Drosophila melanogaster: one gene and its partner. The protein of the gene in region 1 purifies or fractionates together with the protein of each later gene. This does not show direct contact. Each region holds a gene or a part of one and is shown on either strand. Other genes may lie near its edges.

Region 1 (9,856 bases):
ATTCGCAAAGGATTCGGTTTTCTCGTTTTCGATAACTTTCTTTTCGTTTTTAGGCACACAAGTTTATTTTATATTTTCTTTTTATTTTTTTGGTGATGCAGCATTTGAAGGAGATGTGAAGCAGCAGTAGAGCAGAAACAGAAAAAAAAAAACTTACTTAGGGAGAAAAACAAATTGAATTGAAGTCCGAGCAGCTGACGTCGTAGGAGCGAATGCTGCGGTTCGACTAACCAAACTGACGATGAAAAGCGCTGCTACACGTTATGTTAAAGAATTTTTCGTCGCGTTCGCGGAAAAGCCATTTCCACGCACACACCGATCGCCTTTCTATATAGCCAATAGCTGGCCATGTGTGCGAGCAGGCCAGCGCTATATGCCACATATCGCTGGCCGATGTGGCAACAAGTGGGTGGTGGTGGGTGCGCCTGCCTGTGTTGGCTGTGTTCGATGTGTTTTGGGTGAATTTTTCAGGTGGGCTGCAGCTGAAACATAAACTTGTACACGCACACAGCCGCCGTCGAGTTTTCCAATTTTCCATTTTGGCCAGAGCGAGATGAGGCATACGATATTAGTATATACTATACATTAGACCATAATGGCGCACGCACATAACTAGATCATACAATAAGTATATAGCGCATACGGACGTTCGGTGCGTTGGCGGCATTTTACACATTTGTTTTTGGAATCAAATATCGTAGAGCATAAATTTCACAGCCATTAAAAAGTCGGCCTGCATATATTGCTCTATAATATATACGTACAGATGTTCGTGCCGATATATAGCACATATAGTTTGGATTCCTCAGCGGATCGTTGCAGCATTTGAACCCCAGAGTGCACGCCCTACAAAATCTCCAACCCAGTCCGCCGCGATCACCGATCACCCCCTATATATATATATATATATATATATATTTATTTACCTATATCTATATCGCGATCGAACTGCTGACGTCGAACGGCCTTAGGTGGCCCCATCGCATTGCCATTTGTCTAACACTTGAATCTATTCGTCATTGTTCCGATTTTCTTTTTTTATTTCTCTCCTTTTTCTATGCTATTTTTTTTATTTTACTTTCTAACAGATACTTTTGGCAAATAGTTTCAGATACACTTACGCGCCTTGCAGCACTTTAAGCTATCGAATTTAATTCATTCTTTATTGGGTTATTTTTTCGAAGCATACAAAATCAATTTGAAGAATTTGACAAAATCTCTTTTTCCTATATGTAAATTTTGCCAAAAAAATTAATTTTTTCATATCGTTTAATAAACATCATAACACATAAGAAATATTTGTATTAAGTAAGGGTAGTGAAACATATTTTGTTCTGTATTTAATTTTGTTTCTGTATTCTAGTATTAATAAAATTAAAATAAAGCAAAAACTTACAATATTTTAAAAATGTACTTTCATCAACATCGATTTCCGTTGTTTTTTTTTTTGCCAAATTTTTCATAAAATTAGATATAAATTCTAGAAGAATATAAAAAAAAAAAAAAATTTTTAGTTTTTCGCTTGCACTTGTATCTTCTTAAATTATTAATACTGCAAAAAAAAATATTTGGGCTATCTCAAAGTTCCTCAAAATCTGGGTAAAAATTTTTATACATACATGATTACATTATATATGATTACATTACATTATATTATGATTACATTACATTATATATGATTATAGAAAAATTAATTTAAGACTTCTCTTAATTCCTTGCATAAACAAGTTGTTCAAATAAATAGACTTCTGTGTAAATTAAAAACATGCGATGAATATTATTTTAAAATTATATATATTACAATATTCTCCAATAGTAAAATTACTATATAGTCGCAAAGTTTCGGCATTTGTTTTGATTTCGTTTTTGGTTACCAAGTATCTTAAATTTAGAACATTTTTGTATCTGCACCTCTGCGAAATGCAAAATGCACACACCAGATACGCAGATAGATAGATATGTATGCATAGATAATTAGATATGTATGTGTATGTGATATGTATGGGTCTAGGTATTATGCATGGCTTGCCAAAAACCACAAAACTACAGAATCGCAATGGGACACAGGTGGGCAGTTCGAGTTATCTGGGATTTAGTGCATGAAATGGTACGGGCGTGTTCTGTCCAGATATAAACGACATCTGTAAGCGCTTTTTTAGCTGCTTCCAATTTTTGCCTGCCATCTGGCTGGATTCACATAACATCCTCCGTTCAATAAACAACTACGAACCTATTGCAAACATCGGGCCAAATAGCTCAGTGATCCGTAGACCAGAAGTACGGACATGTGCAGATATATACATATGTGGGCGTGAAAGTGGGTGGAAAGTCGGGTATGCCGTATGCCGTATTCAAGTAAATTTCAATTCGCATCATCTTCTGAATGTCCGAATATCAGAATGTTAGAAAGGCAAGTCAGAATATTCGAAAATCAGGGAATAACAAATAGCACAGTTTCGAATTTTTGTTGTTCTATTTTTGGACGTTTTGTGTGGGCGCTATTCGTCTGTAGCCTTCGGTTTTTAGTGCCGATCGTATGCACGAAGATGCCCGATATAAAAAATATATATATATATATATATATATTAAAGTATGTATATGTATTTGTTTAAATATCTTCTATATGTCTATCTATAGGTTAGCTTTCTGGGGCGATGTTTACGGGGAACTGTGGCTAATATCTGCATAGATCAGGAATAACATAAACATTATCCAAGATCTGGAAAAATATTTGATTTCAGACAAGAACGATGGCCCTGGGATTATATGAATGAACAGCGTATCCAAAGTGTCGAATAATTTGAATTGATTGCAATCGGTGCAATCTTAAATAATAAGCTATTGTTGGCTGTGTCACTTGCATTTTTTTTCTACTGTGTATGATGCAAGAAAACAGTTAAAATTCTGAAATATGTTCTTTTCAATTTTAGATTTTAGTGACCAGAATAGTAAGAGCTTCCTATTATAAACTTAAATGTATTTAACACATTAAATCAATGCACTTTCCAGTTTAAAGTTAAAATATATAATTCATAAACTTTTCAATGAATAAGATCAGGTCAAGCAAACATATTTTGTAAAGAACAAACAAGCGATGTGTGCCAATTTTAGAATCTATATGTTGGATGTTCGATTTAAAAATACGCTCTAACTAAATTAAATGAAATGAAAACAGACCAATTAAAAAAAGCAAAAAAAAATTGGGGAAAAGGAAACAACGGAAAAATCCATAAGAAAAAAGACACATAGAAGAAACCCCAAGATGAAAACAGCAGAAAATATAAAAACGTTTAAGAACAGAGCCATCATACACAGTCTGGCTATATAGTACCTAATGCTCCGTCTACTATATGTATAGTATTACACGTTTATTTTCAGAATTTGTTTTTGACTTAATTTTCGGCTTGTTGACACTTGGAAATGTGTATCAGTAGTCAAGCCAACAAAATCGCGACTAAAACCAAAATGTTACAACTATTTCAACATACTCGTAATGATAGTTTCGATTTTGGTAAGTTGGATGATGCTTACGGGTATTTTTGTATAAAAGTAAATACATTTTTTTACCATGCATTAATTCTGATCTCGTGAAACTTGTAACTTCACTCATTAAAATCAAAAAATTTAATTATCCTTTTTTTCTGAATAGTATTTTATCTTGTATTTAAAGTAAATATATTTCTTGTATTGTTTCTTAATAAAGATTAATGAGATACAAAAACAAATTACACTGTGAAGTTTTATTTTCGTTCATATTAGCGTGATTCTAATTCTTCAATGGTTATTTCAAATTCAAAAGTAACCGCCAATTTTCGTACTGGTGTAGTCGATAATGCCGTTGGTCGAAGCGAAACATATCGATAACCGGCAAATGCACATCTAATTGGAGTACAAAATAACGCCTCCTGATATCGATACGCTATCACAAACAAGAAAATAGAATAAAAACAAAATCGCTTGGAAATCGTAAAGAAAGAAAGTTAAATACGACAGATAGATAATTGCAACACAAAATAAGTGCGCCGTGGTCCGAATAGAACAACAATTGCGTGGCGTGGTTACACGAGTGCGAGCGAGAGGGCCGATGTGGTAGTGGCCAATCCAATTGGATATTCATTTTGCAGGCAAAAAACGCATTTTTTGTGGACACCGCTTGCTCCTTGGTACAAGGATAACGACCAACGATGGCCAGCGAGCCGGAGAACAAGCCACCGATCCTGCACATCCTCGTGGTGGGCTTCCACCACAAGCTGGGCTGCCAGGTGGAGTTCTCGCATCCGCCGCTAATCTCGGGCTCCACGGGACGCAACGAATGCCCCTCCGGCTGGAAGTACCTGCCCACTCTGGCTCTGCCCGACGGCTCGCATAACTTTGCCGAGGACACGGTGTTCTTCAACCTGCCCAGTTTGTATGAGCCGGCTGAGAGTATCTACGGCGTGTCCTGCTATCGCCAGATACGCGTGGAGAAGCTAAAGATCCGGACAGCGGACCTCACGCGCAGCACCGTTCAGAAGTCCGTTTGCATATTGGCCCGCCTGCCCATCTACGGGTACATCGAGGTGAAGCTAGCCCTCATTGCCGATGCCTTTTTCGATCAGGGCGACTTCTCCGGCACGGAACTGCTGGCCAAGGCCTATCAGCAGCTAAATGCCTGCCTCCAGGACGACGAGTCGCGCCGCCCGTTGCGCCACTTTCACGTGGGGCTGTCGCTGCGCGAGATCGTACTCCACTGGCGCCACAAGACGCTAATGCTCTTCAAACTAATGCTGCTGCAGCGACGAGTGGTGTGTTTCGGTTCGCCCGTACGCCAAATGTGTGTGCTGATCCTGGGCATGGCATCGCTGGTGCCGCGGCTGCTGGAGAAGGGCTTCCAGGAGGTGGCCTGTGTGCGCACGTCGCGTCCCCTGTCGCCCATGCCGGATTTCACTGACTCCCTGCAGCGGGAGGCGCAGGCCGAAGCCGAAGCGGAACTGGAGGCAGTGGCTTCCGTAGCAGCTGCCACCGATGAGCAGAAACTGACGCCCGAGAGCGCCACAGCGGTGGAGGGCGAGGCCGAAGAGCTGGCCCTCGTCTCATCCGCAGCGTCGGCGGGCGAGGAGCAGGTCAGTGGCGATGACACGTCGACGCGTTCCACGCCCAACTCACAGTCGCAGGACTCATCGAACGGCAGGAACAGCTCGCTGACCAGAGAGGCCAGCGTGGACACACTAGCGTGTGAGTAGCCCAAGAAGTCTATCCCCGTGTTTGGCGTAACTAGCAGATTTAGGCACATTTTAGTCAATTGTAACCTTTGTTATTGCGTTTATTCTTATACATATCATGCCATATAAGTGAATCATTCTAGATAGGAGATAGGAGCGTGCAGACATTAAATATTACGTATGACGCAGTTAACTGATCCGTGTAAATGTTTCGTCCATAGCCAACCTCGCCGCCTTGTGCGCTGTCAATCCGGATGAGTATCGGGCACCGGTCAGCATCTTCGCCAGCGGCAACCTCTGCCTGCCGTATCTGTCGCTACCGTACATGGACCTGCTCAGCGATCCCATGGTGCTCTCCTATGTCATCGGCACCTCCAACGTGCTTTTCCAGCAGAAACGTCAGCTGGCTGACGTCCTGGTGGACATCGAGGCGGCCAATCTGGATGCCCACGATCCGGAGCTCAGGCGTCAGCTGGTGCTGAGCACCGAGGATCTGCGCTACATGGACTACATCATGAAGCATGTGCAATCGCCAAAGGAGGATGCCGAGGGCAGCGAGTACTGGATACGGGAGCAGTTTCAGGGCTATATTCTCGCACTCTTGCGAACTGCTGTGGCTCCAGGTGTGTGCAATCTTTGTTAGCTTTTAGTTGAACCATCAAATGTAAATGTAAATTTGTTTGTTTACAGATGCCACGCCAAAGGACAACGATCATTTCAATGCGCACTTCATGGGCGCCTTCAAGCGCACCCAATGCTTTCAGGAATGGTACGACGTTAGGCCCGAACCCGAGTTCTTTGAGGCCCTGCCCGCTGGTCATCCCTTCGCCGGCACCTTGTCCGTGGCGGACATGAAACTAAAACTAGCACAGTAAGCGGTTAAAATCCTGAAATCCATACCGAAGGGGAACTAAGTTTCTAAACACTTGAAATTTGCAGAACCATGCAAAATAGCGAGAGTGGGCGAAAAATCAACCAGGCGGTAAACACGACGAGTCGTGCAGTGGGCGGTGCCATATCCCAGGCCAAGGGCGCCTTCTCCAGCTGGTGGTCATCCATCACGACGGCCCCGCCCAATGCAACAAATGCAGGGCCTGCGACCAGCAGCTCGAATGGGCAGGAAGGGGATGTAAGCGAAGGAGCTGCAGCCCAAGAGATCTCAGTTACATTCCAGAATCATAAGGACGTCGAAGACCTTGACGTGGCGGGAGTCAGCATCCACCTGGCTGGCCAGGAAGAGGCACACGAGTCGCACGAGTCACAGAGCGTCAGCTGCGACAAGCCGCAAGGCATCGTCGAGATTGGACGCGAGGCGGAGCTGTTGGACAAAACTGCGCAATCGGAGGAGCCCAAGATTGCGGCTGCAAGCCAAGCCGGTCGGCCAGGATGTGGCGGCGATGTGGCCACCTCGGCCGTGGAGCGCAGCAGTGGCGATGTCTTCATTGTCTGAGGACGTTAGCACTATCGGGGTCATTGTATAGAATTGAACTAAGCTAAATGATATTTATTTATTACACAACATATTGTCTCAGTCTCAATGTTGAATTTATAACTACTACTCGAACTTCCCCCCTATTTTTTTGTATACCCATACATATTCTGTAGTTGGTTGACTTGTGGTACACAGAAACCTAGGATTTATGATCGAGCGACAATATACTATGAGATACATCACTACTAATTGAAATAATACCTCATTTTCGTTTATTTTAAGCCCAAAAATGACAAAATATATATCTACGAATACGAAAAAAGCGCACACAAATGAAATATCCAAATTAATTAATTTAATAGCAATAAATGCAAACGTTTCCCTGCAACTTTTTTGTGGCACAAGTCAATCGCACGCTAAACTACACAAAATTGGCCAAATGATAATATTATTTAATATTTATAGATACCTACGCTTAAGTTACCCTTGCCGTATTTACCCACCACTCAGTGTATACATATGTATAACCATGTAAAGCTAAACCGTTCCAAGTGCAATTTGTAATCCCAAAAAAGGCAGCGGAGATCCGTAATGAAATCCGTAATACGTGTGGCAATAAAGAACTTAAGAAATCTGATATTATGGAGTATCATCCCCTCCTTTGTCCAGGAACCGCTGTGTTCAACTCAATTTACCTAATTCAAATGTAATCAAAAATAAATGCATTTCATAAAACATAAAACATTGAACATTGCAGACAGCTTCATTGTCTTTTTTAATTTGAAAACAAAGAATACTCTTTAATAAATTCCTTACAGATCAACTGGACTACAACAAAACATCCGGATCAAATCAATGATTCTTGATGGCATCTAGCACGGGCTGAAAGGATGGCAGCTTGGCGGAGTACACCTTTTGCTCCACCTCGTTCAGCTTGGCCTGAGTCGCGTTGACCTTTGATTCCACGGCGAGCAGCTGGTCCTCCGCTTTGGCCAGCTTCTGCTCGCATTTTTCCAGGCGATCTTGGCGGGCCTTGAGATCCTGCTCCTGAAACTGCTCAGCAGCGGTGAGTAGATCCTCGTTCCGTTGCTTGCTGGCTTCCAGCTTTTCCAGCGCCTGCTTCTCCCTCTTCTCCAACTCATCCAGACGGGCGGTCTGGTCGTACTGATCCTCGAGCAGCTGTTGCCTGTGCTGCGCCTGCATGTCGCGCTTGGTCCGATAACTGGCCTCCATTTTGGTCAGACGCTGTTTCTGCGCCCGCAACTGAGAGTCCATGGTGGCGATTTCGGTGTCTAACTCGATGGAATCAGACTTTACCTTGGCCACCTGCTTGTCCAACATCTGACGCCGATCGATATTCTGCTGGCGGTGCTGTTGCAGAAGTTTGCCCAGCAACTCCAGGCACTGCACCCTCTCCGAGATGTCCTCTTGATTGGGATTTAGTGGCAGAGTAAGGTCCGATTGCTGGCCAATGCCGCTCTTTATCAGGCCACAAATCACCGGGTCCATGCTCAGGTGGCGCACGTGCGAGTTAAAGACCTCAACGGAATCCAGTTGCTTTTGCTTGGCGCGCGACAGCATCACCTGCTGATGCAGCTCCAGCTCGGACACCTCCTTCACCTGGCGCTCATAAGCCTTGGAGTAGTTTTCCATATCGTCGCACTTCATTTGAAGCTCCTTTAGCTGCTGGGCGGAGAACTTCTGCCTGTTAACCGCCTGCTCCAGACGCTTTTCATACTTCATTTGCTGGCGGAGATTAGACTGTTTTTCTTCTACCTGGGCAGACAGCTGTTCGTATAACTTCAGTTTCTTGATCAGCTCCTCTTCACTGGCAGCTAGCTGTTGGGCAAGCTGATCGTGCTCTTTGGTAAGACGTTCCAGTTTGTTCAGTTTATTGTCTTCACTGGGATCATGCAACTTATTCTCCAGTTGCTGTAGTTTCGTCTTCAGATCGCCGATTAGCTGGTCTAAGGCTTTGCGATCGGGCAAATCACACTTCTTGCTGATCACCTGATCCCTGGTCTCCGCCTGCAGCTTGGCCTCCTCATTGGTAAGCTCCTGATCCCACAAGGCAATGCATTTGCTAGCCTCTTCGAAGAGCAGACCATTGACGTCTTCATCTAGCTGAATGGCGTGCGCCTGTGTGGTGGACATGATGGTCGTCGACTCGCAGTGCATGCTATTCAGATACGAGCTGGGCTGCTCCATGGTTTCCATAAACGGAAACTCCTCCTCCACCACATCCGACGAGGGCAGAGGCGGTAAAAAGTCCATGAGAAAGTCCAGCAGAACGATCACATGGCCGAATGAATGCTGTGTTGTTGGCGATACAAGCCATGATTTGTTCACCTGCAAGTCACAAGTGGATTTAAGAATTAAACGAACACTGGAAACCTAAGAGCATCCGAGTTGCTTACCTGATAAGGATACTGTAGCTTTTGCATTGCGCTGGTAATATCCTCGACATGGTTCTGGCCCACTGTCACGCGATTTCGCCAGATGTGGTGGAACATAAAGTTGAGAATGGAAACAAATTGCTTGATGGTCATGTGTCGCAAACCCCCGGGCCGACTGAATAGATCCGCAATAAGTCCAGTGGGCGCCTCGCTGTTCTGAATGCCATGTAGGTATTCCAGGATCTGCTGTGCCCTCTCCGCCACCCATTTCTTGTCGGAGTGTGGCGCAATGGCGCGCTCCGCAGTGGAGGGCACAAACCGGTGGCCTCGCTTGGGCGTCACGCCCATTTGACTGGCCCGATCGCGCTCCAAGTTCAGCGGCTGCGGCAGACGCGATGCGGACGGCCTATGCGGATTGGATTCAAACATTACTGGTTGTGCCTTCGATAATCAAATGGTTGTGCATACCTTCTGGGTGCCGCCTGGCTGGAGGACGGAGTGTGCGTGGCTGCGCTCCGCTTTGTTGCCCTGGAAAAGGATACGCATTTGCATCGTTGACAAGATTTGATCAGTTGGATTTCGATGCTCACCTGGTTTGCCGCTTATCGGCAGTGCCTCGCTCCTCCAGTACATCGCCACGGAACTCGCTGGTCCGCCGGGGCATCAGGTGCGACATCTTGGCGTTATTGAAACTACGTTGATTAAATTAAATGTTTACTCAGTTTGATTGGGAATCGCGCGTCGTTTAACGCCTGTTATCGGCAAATCGATAGTTTCCAGGGATGCAGTCGCGATTGACACCCTAGTGTTACTAAACCATCTGGCAG
Region 2 (8,522 bases), on another chromosome or scaffold:
TAAGGATCGGAATTGACTAAAAAGCCAACATAATGTGCTTACTTTACGGACTTATATTTATTCTGCTGCTGAGGATTCTGAAGCATTAAACTCCCAACTTAAGCAAGGAATATCTCTTAATAACTTTTAATAATTAAATATACGTTTAGAGGAGTCATCTTTGTAAGCTAATTGGGGTGGGATTGCGGAGTTTGGGCATGGGGGTAAAAGCCGGCCGTACAAAAGGTTTCCACTAAATTATACTAGTTGATTAGATAGTCCAGCGCCTTGTCCTTATTATTGTTGAACTTGAGTAGCGCCGCCGAGATTTTCGATTCGTCAAAACCGAGGTCCAGAAGTTCTCCCAGTGGAATAAGGTGTTCGATAATCTGAAAAGACGTCCCAGATCGGAATAATGCATTTTGCAAAAGTTTTCGAAACTGACTTACCTTCTTATCGTCGATACCGCATAGACTAACCACCTTTGCCACCCGTTCCAGAGGGAAACCCATAGTACTGATACGTTGGGCCAACTTCTGTGCCGGACCAGCCAGCTCCCTAAAGGAGTTTCTGTCCACTGCCAACTCCACCGTTGGCTGCTGCTCCGCGTTGTGACTGTGCAGGCGGGTACGACGCTTCTCCGCCTGCTGCAGCTCCGTCTTCAGCTCCCGCAGGATGTCAGGCACACTCCTTGACTTCGTGGCTACCTCGTCCTCCGACTGGCTGAGCGCATGCACGGAGGAAGGCGCTGGAGGAGCCTTCAAAAGGTTTTGAGTCCCGAATCCATTGACTTGGTAGTTGCTAAACTGTTGGAAAGAATGCTGCTGCGGAGGGTAGAAGGGCTGGTGACTGTAGCCCTGCATGTGGTACACCTGCGAAAATAATAATTAGCCCATATTTTAAATCGGAGCGTCTGAAAAAAACTTATTTTCGATTGAAATAAAATATTGGGTATCGGACTAATACTTGGTTTATAAGACCATGCTAAGATCGTACTCAAGCTCAGTCAAAATATATTACACCCTCAATTGTGGTACTAATTAGTTTGAGCAATAGCCCCACCCTCGACTTGTGATGAGTTATTTATTTTTAGGTAATCTACCTGCAAATGCTCAGAAATCATCCCGATTAAATGGTATACTGTGAGTGAATGAACAATTTCCTCTTTTATTACAATTTAATGAGTAATGAGGATTGGATTTTGAGAATACAAGGATAGTGTGACATTCAAAAGAATCAAGTTAACATATTATTAAGGCTCTTTAACTAGTTAAAAGTGTCCCACCTGAAAGTGTTCCGGTTTATGCAACGGCTGCTGGGCGGAAGCGCTGTACATGGGCGTTAGGTATTGAGCCGTGGTTGGAATGTGGCTTGGCTCGCCCCTGTCCGCATTATCATCACAGTGAACATGGAAATTGACGCTGTCGAGCGTCGCTTTGGTCTCCGCCAGCGTAGTCATTGCTAGCTCCACCGGAGCTGGCACTTCATTGCCAGATTGCTCCTCCTTGGAATGATCCTCATGCGGCGGCTCCTGCTGCTGCTGATCCTGCTGCTGTTGATCTATGCGCTTCTCCAGCTGTGTCTGGTGCAGAACCTGAGCTAGTATGTCTAGATCGTTGATGGTCTTCAGCTCGATATTGTCGAAAGGTGTGGAGTTCATATTGTACTCAAAGTCTGCGTAGTTTAGGGAGCTGTTACGCTTGTGCAGCGTCTGCGGACTGACCACTGGAGTGGTGCTCAGAATGGTGGGCTGCAAGATATTGTGAAAATTACACACACTTATTGACTTTGGTTCGTGGGAAGAGTCGCGTGACTCAGCGGTGATTGGAGGTGGTGGCTGCTGTTGCTGTTCCTCGTCCCTCTGCTCGGGCTCGTTCTTCTTTCGCTCCTTCTCGTCCTCATCCGATGACAAGTCGTCCGCACTAGGATAATCAACTGCTCCAAGCATCTCCTTCTGTCTCGCCTCCAGCGCCCGTTGGCGTTCCTCCTTGCGACGCTCCTGGCGACTGGCTCGCTCCTCGCGCTGCTGGCGACGCAGGTGGCGCCATCGTTGCGCCTGACTCAGCACGGCCCTCTCCAGCTGACAGTCATACTGGTAATCCGGATGATCCGTGTAGAAACCTTCTCGGAATTGCGACAGGCGATTGAGGGTCGCCTGCGGCAGGTGGTACACGGCAGGCGGTGGTTTGTAGCGCTCGACTATCTTGACCGGGACATCTTCCATGTTATGCTAGCGCATTCACCACGAATTTTGTTAATTAAGTTGCTACTACGCGTTTTTTTTTCTCTGTTCTCTTTTGTTGTTTCTCGAGCAGCAGCGATAGGCGATTGGTATTGTCATCGGTCACTGCTGATTCGCCAATTTCGACTAGTGTTGAATATCGTTTTTCCTTGAGATGCTCACCTAATTAGGTGTACTCAGGCTTGGTTGCGAGTTTGACAACAGCTGATATTAAATCTACCCAAATTTTCGCCAATTTGAGGGCGTATGAAAGGCTTAACAAAAATCGGAATACATTAATAGTTTCTACAGATCACGTTATACAACATAAAAAAATTAAAATTACAAAACATTTTGACATACTAAATATTTTTTGTTACCAAGGGTATCATTATTTAGTGCATGGCGGATAGTTTTAAGATCTTTATTCTAAAAAACTATTTTTGACCAAACTTTTGTTTAAAATAATCCCGCGCTTTTACAACTGAGTTTATTGAAATCATGTTCTTTCCACTAGATAAAACCAAAGTTTCTGGGAATAAATAAGGACGAAAAATGGCAGTTATGATATCTATTTTATCTCTATCTATTCTTTAATAGGTCTTAGTCCAATAATACAGCAATTTCCTATGTAATGTTCAATGTTACTTTATTTGCAGGGTATTAATTTGCTTAATGCAGTTCGACCATTGCAACCATTTTATCGATAGTTGATGCCGGGAATAGTTCATCGCTAAAGTCAAAGGCAATGTAAACAAAACAACCTGAGCAATGGACGATGCCGATGATCTGCGCATAAACCAGCAGCAGCTTATGGACGAGATTTCGGCCCTCTTGCAGAACACAGCGAAGCCGAGCGCCGCCAACGCACTGCAGCTGAATCAGGAGCTCCAGCGCCGGCTCATGCAAGTCCGGACCAAAATTCTGGCCATGTTACAAGTAGTAAGGGCCCGCTTCTCTCGGAACGAGGACATCCTGGTGCGCCGGCTGCGACCTCGTTCCCATTTCGGCCCGAATTCCCTCAATCTTAGCGGGGCGATCCTGCGGAAGGGCACGTTTCGCTTCAAGGGCAACCTGTTTTTCCGAGACATCGATGGTCGAAGCTGTCCTAACAACGAGGATTACGAGGCGCGGTGCCACACGGAGATGTTTCCCACCGACTTTGACATGCACTCCAGACATGTATGGACATTGCTAGACAAAAAGAATGTGATAATGGGTATAAAACAACAGGTGAGTGGACCCTTCGAGTGGTTCAGATTGATTGCCAAATACCCATTTAATAGCAATGAAAAGTTAAATAGCAATACTAATATTCTGTTTTATAAAAAACTCAATTCTCAGTTACTGGAGCATAGGGCCCACAGTACGAATGCGCTGCCCAGCGGAAGCCTGAAGCGCAAGCCAATCGAGCGACACTTAAGTACACTGGTAAGTCTGCTGGCAACTGCGGATAGTAGCTTCAGCATCGACTGGAACCAGATCAGCACCCTGGACTTGGAATATCGGCACTCACCATATAGCTGTGAGGCAATGTGGAGGGTCTACTTAACACCAGATCTCAGGCGAGACGATTGGTCACCCGAGGAGGACGAAACTTTACTGGCGGTGGCCACTGCGAACAGGATGCAGAACTGGGAGTTGATAGCCGCGTCGCTAGACCGACGTTCCGACTATCAGTGCTTCGTACGCTTTCATACCGCCCTACGTTTTCTGCTGGAGCCAAAGAACAGCCACCGCTGGAGCGAAGAGGACAACGATAAACTAAGGGCGATCGTTGATAGGAATACGGCAAACAGTGTAATAAACTGGAAAAAAGTCGTGGAATACTTCCCGGACAAGTCCAAATCAACGCTGATTGGTCGTTACTACTACGTGTTGCATCCTAGCATCAGTCACGGTAGGTACCCAATATATTGAATAATTTTTAATTTATTATTTCGCTCCTTTGAAACTGCAGAACCCTTCACTACCAAGGAGGACATGATGCTGTTCGCCGCCGTTGAAGAGTACAATGGAAAGTTTCACTGTTTTCCGCGTTCTCTTTTCCCAAACCGGTCGTTAACCCAACTCCGAACTCGCTACCACAATGTACTGGCACAACGCAACAAGACCGACTCCTGGTCCGTTCAGGACGACACACGGCTGATGAGCTTCGTAACGCAATACGGGGCTTCCCAGTGGCTTAACTGTGCCACGTTCTTGGGCAATCACACGCGGACCAGCTGTCGAACCCGCTTCCTAGTCATCAAGAAATTCCTTGAACAAAATCCCAATGCAAAAGTGGAAGACCTGCCACGCCGCCGATCGAAGAAGGTGTCCTTGGTTAACTCTGATAACTGGGCGCAGCGTTTGCAAGAGTGGCAAGAGGACCCAGAGTCATTAGTTAATGATAACCCCCCGAAAGGAACTCGGGTGCGCGGTCCCAAATCGAAAAAGGCTAGGATCGAGCGACAGGCAGAGAGTTTCTCAAGACTTTCGAAAGTTGATATAGAGTTCTGCAACTTCTTTAAGTTTAGTTATAATCTGACGCTGAGCACTCCAAAAACTTTTCCAGTTCCAAAAGACGTTTATAACCTTGCCTACGTGATCAGAGCTCTTGCATATAAGCCACCAATTCGACCCTCGCTCTTACAAAACATATTTATGCCAAATGATGTGCTTAAGTGCTACAACAGCATGATCCGAAACCTTCCGGACGAGGAAGGTGATATGAAGAGCCCACTTTTGCCACCCAACTGGTCAACTATGATGGGGTTTCGAGCCTTATGCATTCTTTCCGGAGATTGTCGCAAGGATACGGAAACACGTAGCTTCGAATACAATGAATCTTTACCACCCATCCAGCTTTTCCGCAAGCGGTTGCAAGCTCTTTTCTATCGTACCACTCTTCTCAGCCGCTTGGAATCACAACTCTTTACGGACTTACCATCAGCATTAGTTTCTTTACCACGCCCCAAACACGATTATGCAAAAATGGGTACACATGTTGAATTAATCGATCCAGAGCCGGCACCACAGAATGATCTAAAATCCGAGCCGCTTAGCGAGAATGAAGTGATTAATACAGTCAAGCAGGAATTGGAAATGGAATATACAGTTCCATAGGAACTAATAAGTAAATATGTAATATTGATTAATTTAAGCTTTAAAAGTTTATATTTTTTACTTCATATCGCGTTATATAATAGTTCATTACAATGGCTAACAAATAATTTATAAACTTGTAGGTACTTTTAACGTATTTCACATACAGCAAAATCAAATGCCGGACCGATGTGCATTAGGGTGGCTCATTTTTCTGATTGTAGTTTAAAAATATTGCTTAGGTTTGAAAAAAGGTATATTTATAGCAAAACGCCCTGCAAAACGAAACAATTTAATACACAAGCAGTCAAAAAAACTAATGTATATTTTAGTTGCCGTTTTACAATCCTTTCAAAACTTTTATCCCGGATATTTAGTTATTAGAGCAAAATTGTCTAAACCTTATTTTCAATATAAAAAGAACCGATCCATCCTATTGTTCATGCGGTAACAATGTATTACAAAGCATTTTTATGATAGCACTAGCAGCTTGAGAACTATTTTGTTCGATTCCCGGGGGAGGCGCTCATTGGAAGTTACTGAAATCCGTCTTCAGCTTGATCGTAGGCTTCTGCGGCTTGGCCAGCAGGTTCCTCTGCGCCTCGCTTGCTTTTTGGGCAATGTTAATCGACTGCTGTTGGCTGCGAATGGCCGCTTCTAGTTTTTGTCGCAGTTCCGGTGTTTGACCCATCAGGGCCTTAAACTCCTGCGGATATTTCGGACCGATCTTCAGTAGCCACTGCAGCGCCTGGTCGTGCAGCTGCCGTTGATACTTTGGCAGCGTCCGGAGTCGACTGGGTTCCGCTAGGAAGCCAATGAGCACAGGGACCAACAGAGTCAGCATCTGAATATCTGTGAAGTGTGGACAAGGAACAATTAATATTATAATCCTAAGTTTAAGGGCTTGCTAAACGGAACATCAATTCACAGAGATGGACAAGTCGCTTCATCCCGTACTTTTACTTCATACGTGCAACATTTAAAGCGTAATTTTAATTGACAACAAGAACTAGGAACTATGCTATGGATTGGTGCATTGAAAAACATTGAGTGTGCAATAAACGTTGCAATTCATGACTATAAGGCAGTTAAGATAACATAAATAAAAAAACGAATAGAATGTTCATATTTAATGGTAGGAAAATAATTTCATTTCCATTTAGCAGACCGATGAAAAAGGAGTAAATTTACAACGCGTGTGTAAGTGTGAACAGTTATGCCTTATATTTCTGAAACGCTTTTTTGACATGAAACGTGTGAGTTTATGATCGAGCTCTTCTATTTACCTTGTAGCAAGTTCATGTTTCCTAACGTTTTTTTTTAAATATTATTTTTTTTAATGTTTTGTAAATGATTTGTGATTTGATAAAAAGAGAAGACAGAGAAAAGAGCAAATATATAATAACTTATTTCGTTTTCCCTTCCCATCGTGTGAAGTTTAAAATGAATGTACTTAAACCAATACTTTGGCTGCGTTCGAAGATATATTTGAAGAAAACAGATCGATACGACAGAACAGCCTAATTATGTTGGAAAGGGGAGTGTGTTAACTATTAAGGCGGGTAAGGGGGAACTGCTAGAACTATATTCTAAAATGGGGTACTCCTGCACCAAATGAAAGTTATGTCGAATTTTATCCTTTCTAGTCACAATTTAACATTATTCGAAGAAGTCCTTATAATCAATCAATGATCAATTTTTATTAGTTAGCAATCATTTAATTATGATATAGTCGAGTTCCTGGACTATTTAATATCCGTTAGACACGTATGGACACGGCCAAGTAGATTTGCCTTCTGATACTGAAAAAAAATGTATACACTTTATAGGGTCGAAAACGCTTTCTTCCACCTCTTTCATACTTTTCACTATTTTCCATGAATTATAATTCCAAATATATCCCTCCTAAATCCAAAGGTATAATTATTTAATCTAGTTATATAACATAAACAAAAACACGTTCTTAAGGTTAAGTATTCTTTCTCAAACAGGAGTACCCCGAGATTTAAAGAAGGACCAAGCTTAATGATTTTCAAATACAACCAGTTACTTACGGTTCTGCGGCTCCGACAAGTCTATAAGCTGCTCCACGGTAACGATGCTCTCCAGGGTGACCTGTAGCTCCAGTTCGCTTGTGGGCACCTTGCTGGACTCCGCATACAACGATTCGATTATCCTAGGCGCAAGTGCGTGGATGTAGGGTGTTGCCGTCTTCAATTCGGCCCGAGCGAAGATCGATCGCGTGGTCTCGATGCAGCGCAGCTTCACCGAGAGGTTCTCCGACTGCAGGCACTGCCGGAAGTGATTAATGCATGGATATTGCAATGAAGGTGTAGCCACAACGGAGGCGGGAGTATGTAGAATAAAAACAGTGATGGCCAGCAGCATAGTGACCTCGTCGACTTTCCTTTCCTCGTTATCGCCAGCCGTTTTGGTGAGATCCACAATGGTGGCCAGTGCACTTTGCAGTAACTGTTGCCATTCCTCGGTTGTCTCCTCTACTTTAGCCCACTTGTGGACACAAACGGATCGCAAGCACTGCAGGGCAGACTTCACAGCACACGTATTTGCCAAGATAGTACTATCTATGGCCGACTTGTTGGCGATTTCTTTAACGATACTGGTTGTCATATACAGGACGGTGGGCAGGATTGCAAGGGCACCTTTGGGAGTACACAAATCCATCAACTGTTCGACGCACTGCAGTCCGCTGGATACTAGCAGGCCGTTTTCATCGCCGAGCACCGAGAAGAATGACGAGCCAGTGGCCATTTTGGCATAGGCAAAGTCCAGCTGTAAGCCGGAGCCACCAGCTCCCTGCCTCGTGGGATTCATCGTAGGTATTTGGCGAACAAATAGGCAAAGACAAACCTCCAGAACGGCGTAGACATGCGAGCTTCCTGGCTGCATAGAATCATCTTCTCCATGTCGCTCTCCACCCTTTCCGTCCTCAGAATTGGCATTATCGTCCCGTTTTCTTTCTAAGTCTTCCCTAGCAGCGCGGATTGTTTGCTTTAAAATTTCTACGCACAGAAGTTGTACGAGTAATTCATCTCTCGTCAGTATCTGACGATGTAGAACATGACAGAGTTCAATGGTTAAAGCCCGATCCTTGACCAACTGCCTCCTAGCCCAATCAGAATCAAAGATGCTGTGCAGTGAGCGAAGGCAGCTCACAATGTTTCTCGGCCTTTCAGAGCTTCTCATGCTGCAGAGCGCCTCCATGCAGATGCCG

What was found.
Region 2: the proteins of CG11178 (region 1) and Pbp95 purify together in Drosophila melanogaster (affinity purification with mass spectrometry, with the first as the bait; one large-scale study listed by BioGRID). This does not show direct contact.

Annotation. Positions count from the first base shown.
Region 1 is NC_004354.4:13,602,261-13,612,116, forward strand, and holds CG11178 (uncharacterized protein), read left to right. Parts: upstream 1-3,420; 5' UTR 3,421-3,511; intron 3,512-3,738; 5' UTR 3,739-4,184; coding exon 4,185-5,214; intron 5,215-5,422; coding exon 5,423-5,824; intron 5,825-5,891; coding exon 5,892-6,072; intron 6,073-6,140; coding exon 6,141-6,651; 3' UTR 6,652-7,269; downstream 7,270-9,856. Other genes in the region: Ndc80, read right to left, coding at 7,486-8,982, 9,051-9,435, 9,498-9,557, 9,620-9,705.
Region 2 is NT_033777.3:8,010,867-8,019,388, forward strand, and holds Pbp95 (PSEA-binding protein 95kD), read left to right. Parts: upstream 1-2,924; 5' UTR 2,925-2,971; coding exon 2,972-3,433; intron 3,434-3,544; coding exon 3,545-4,100; intron 4,101-4,160; coding exon 4,161-5,308; 3' UTR 5,309-5,744; downstream 5,745-8,522. Other genes in the region: CG10435 (uncharacterized protein), read right to left, coding at 243-368, 429-851, 1,265-2,203; CG2747 (uncharacterized protein), read right to left, coding at 5,814-6,139, 6,574-6,594, 7,342-8,522.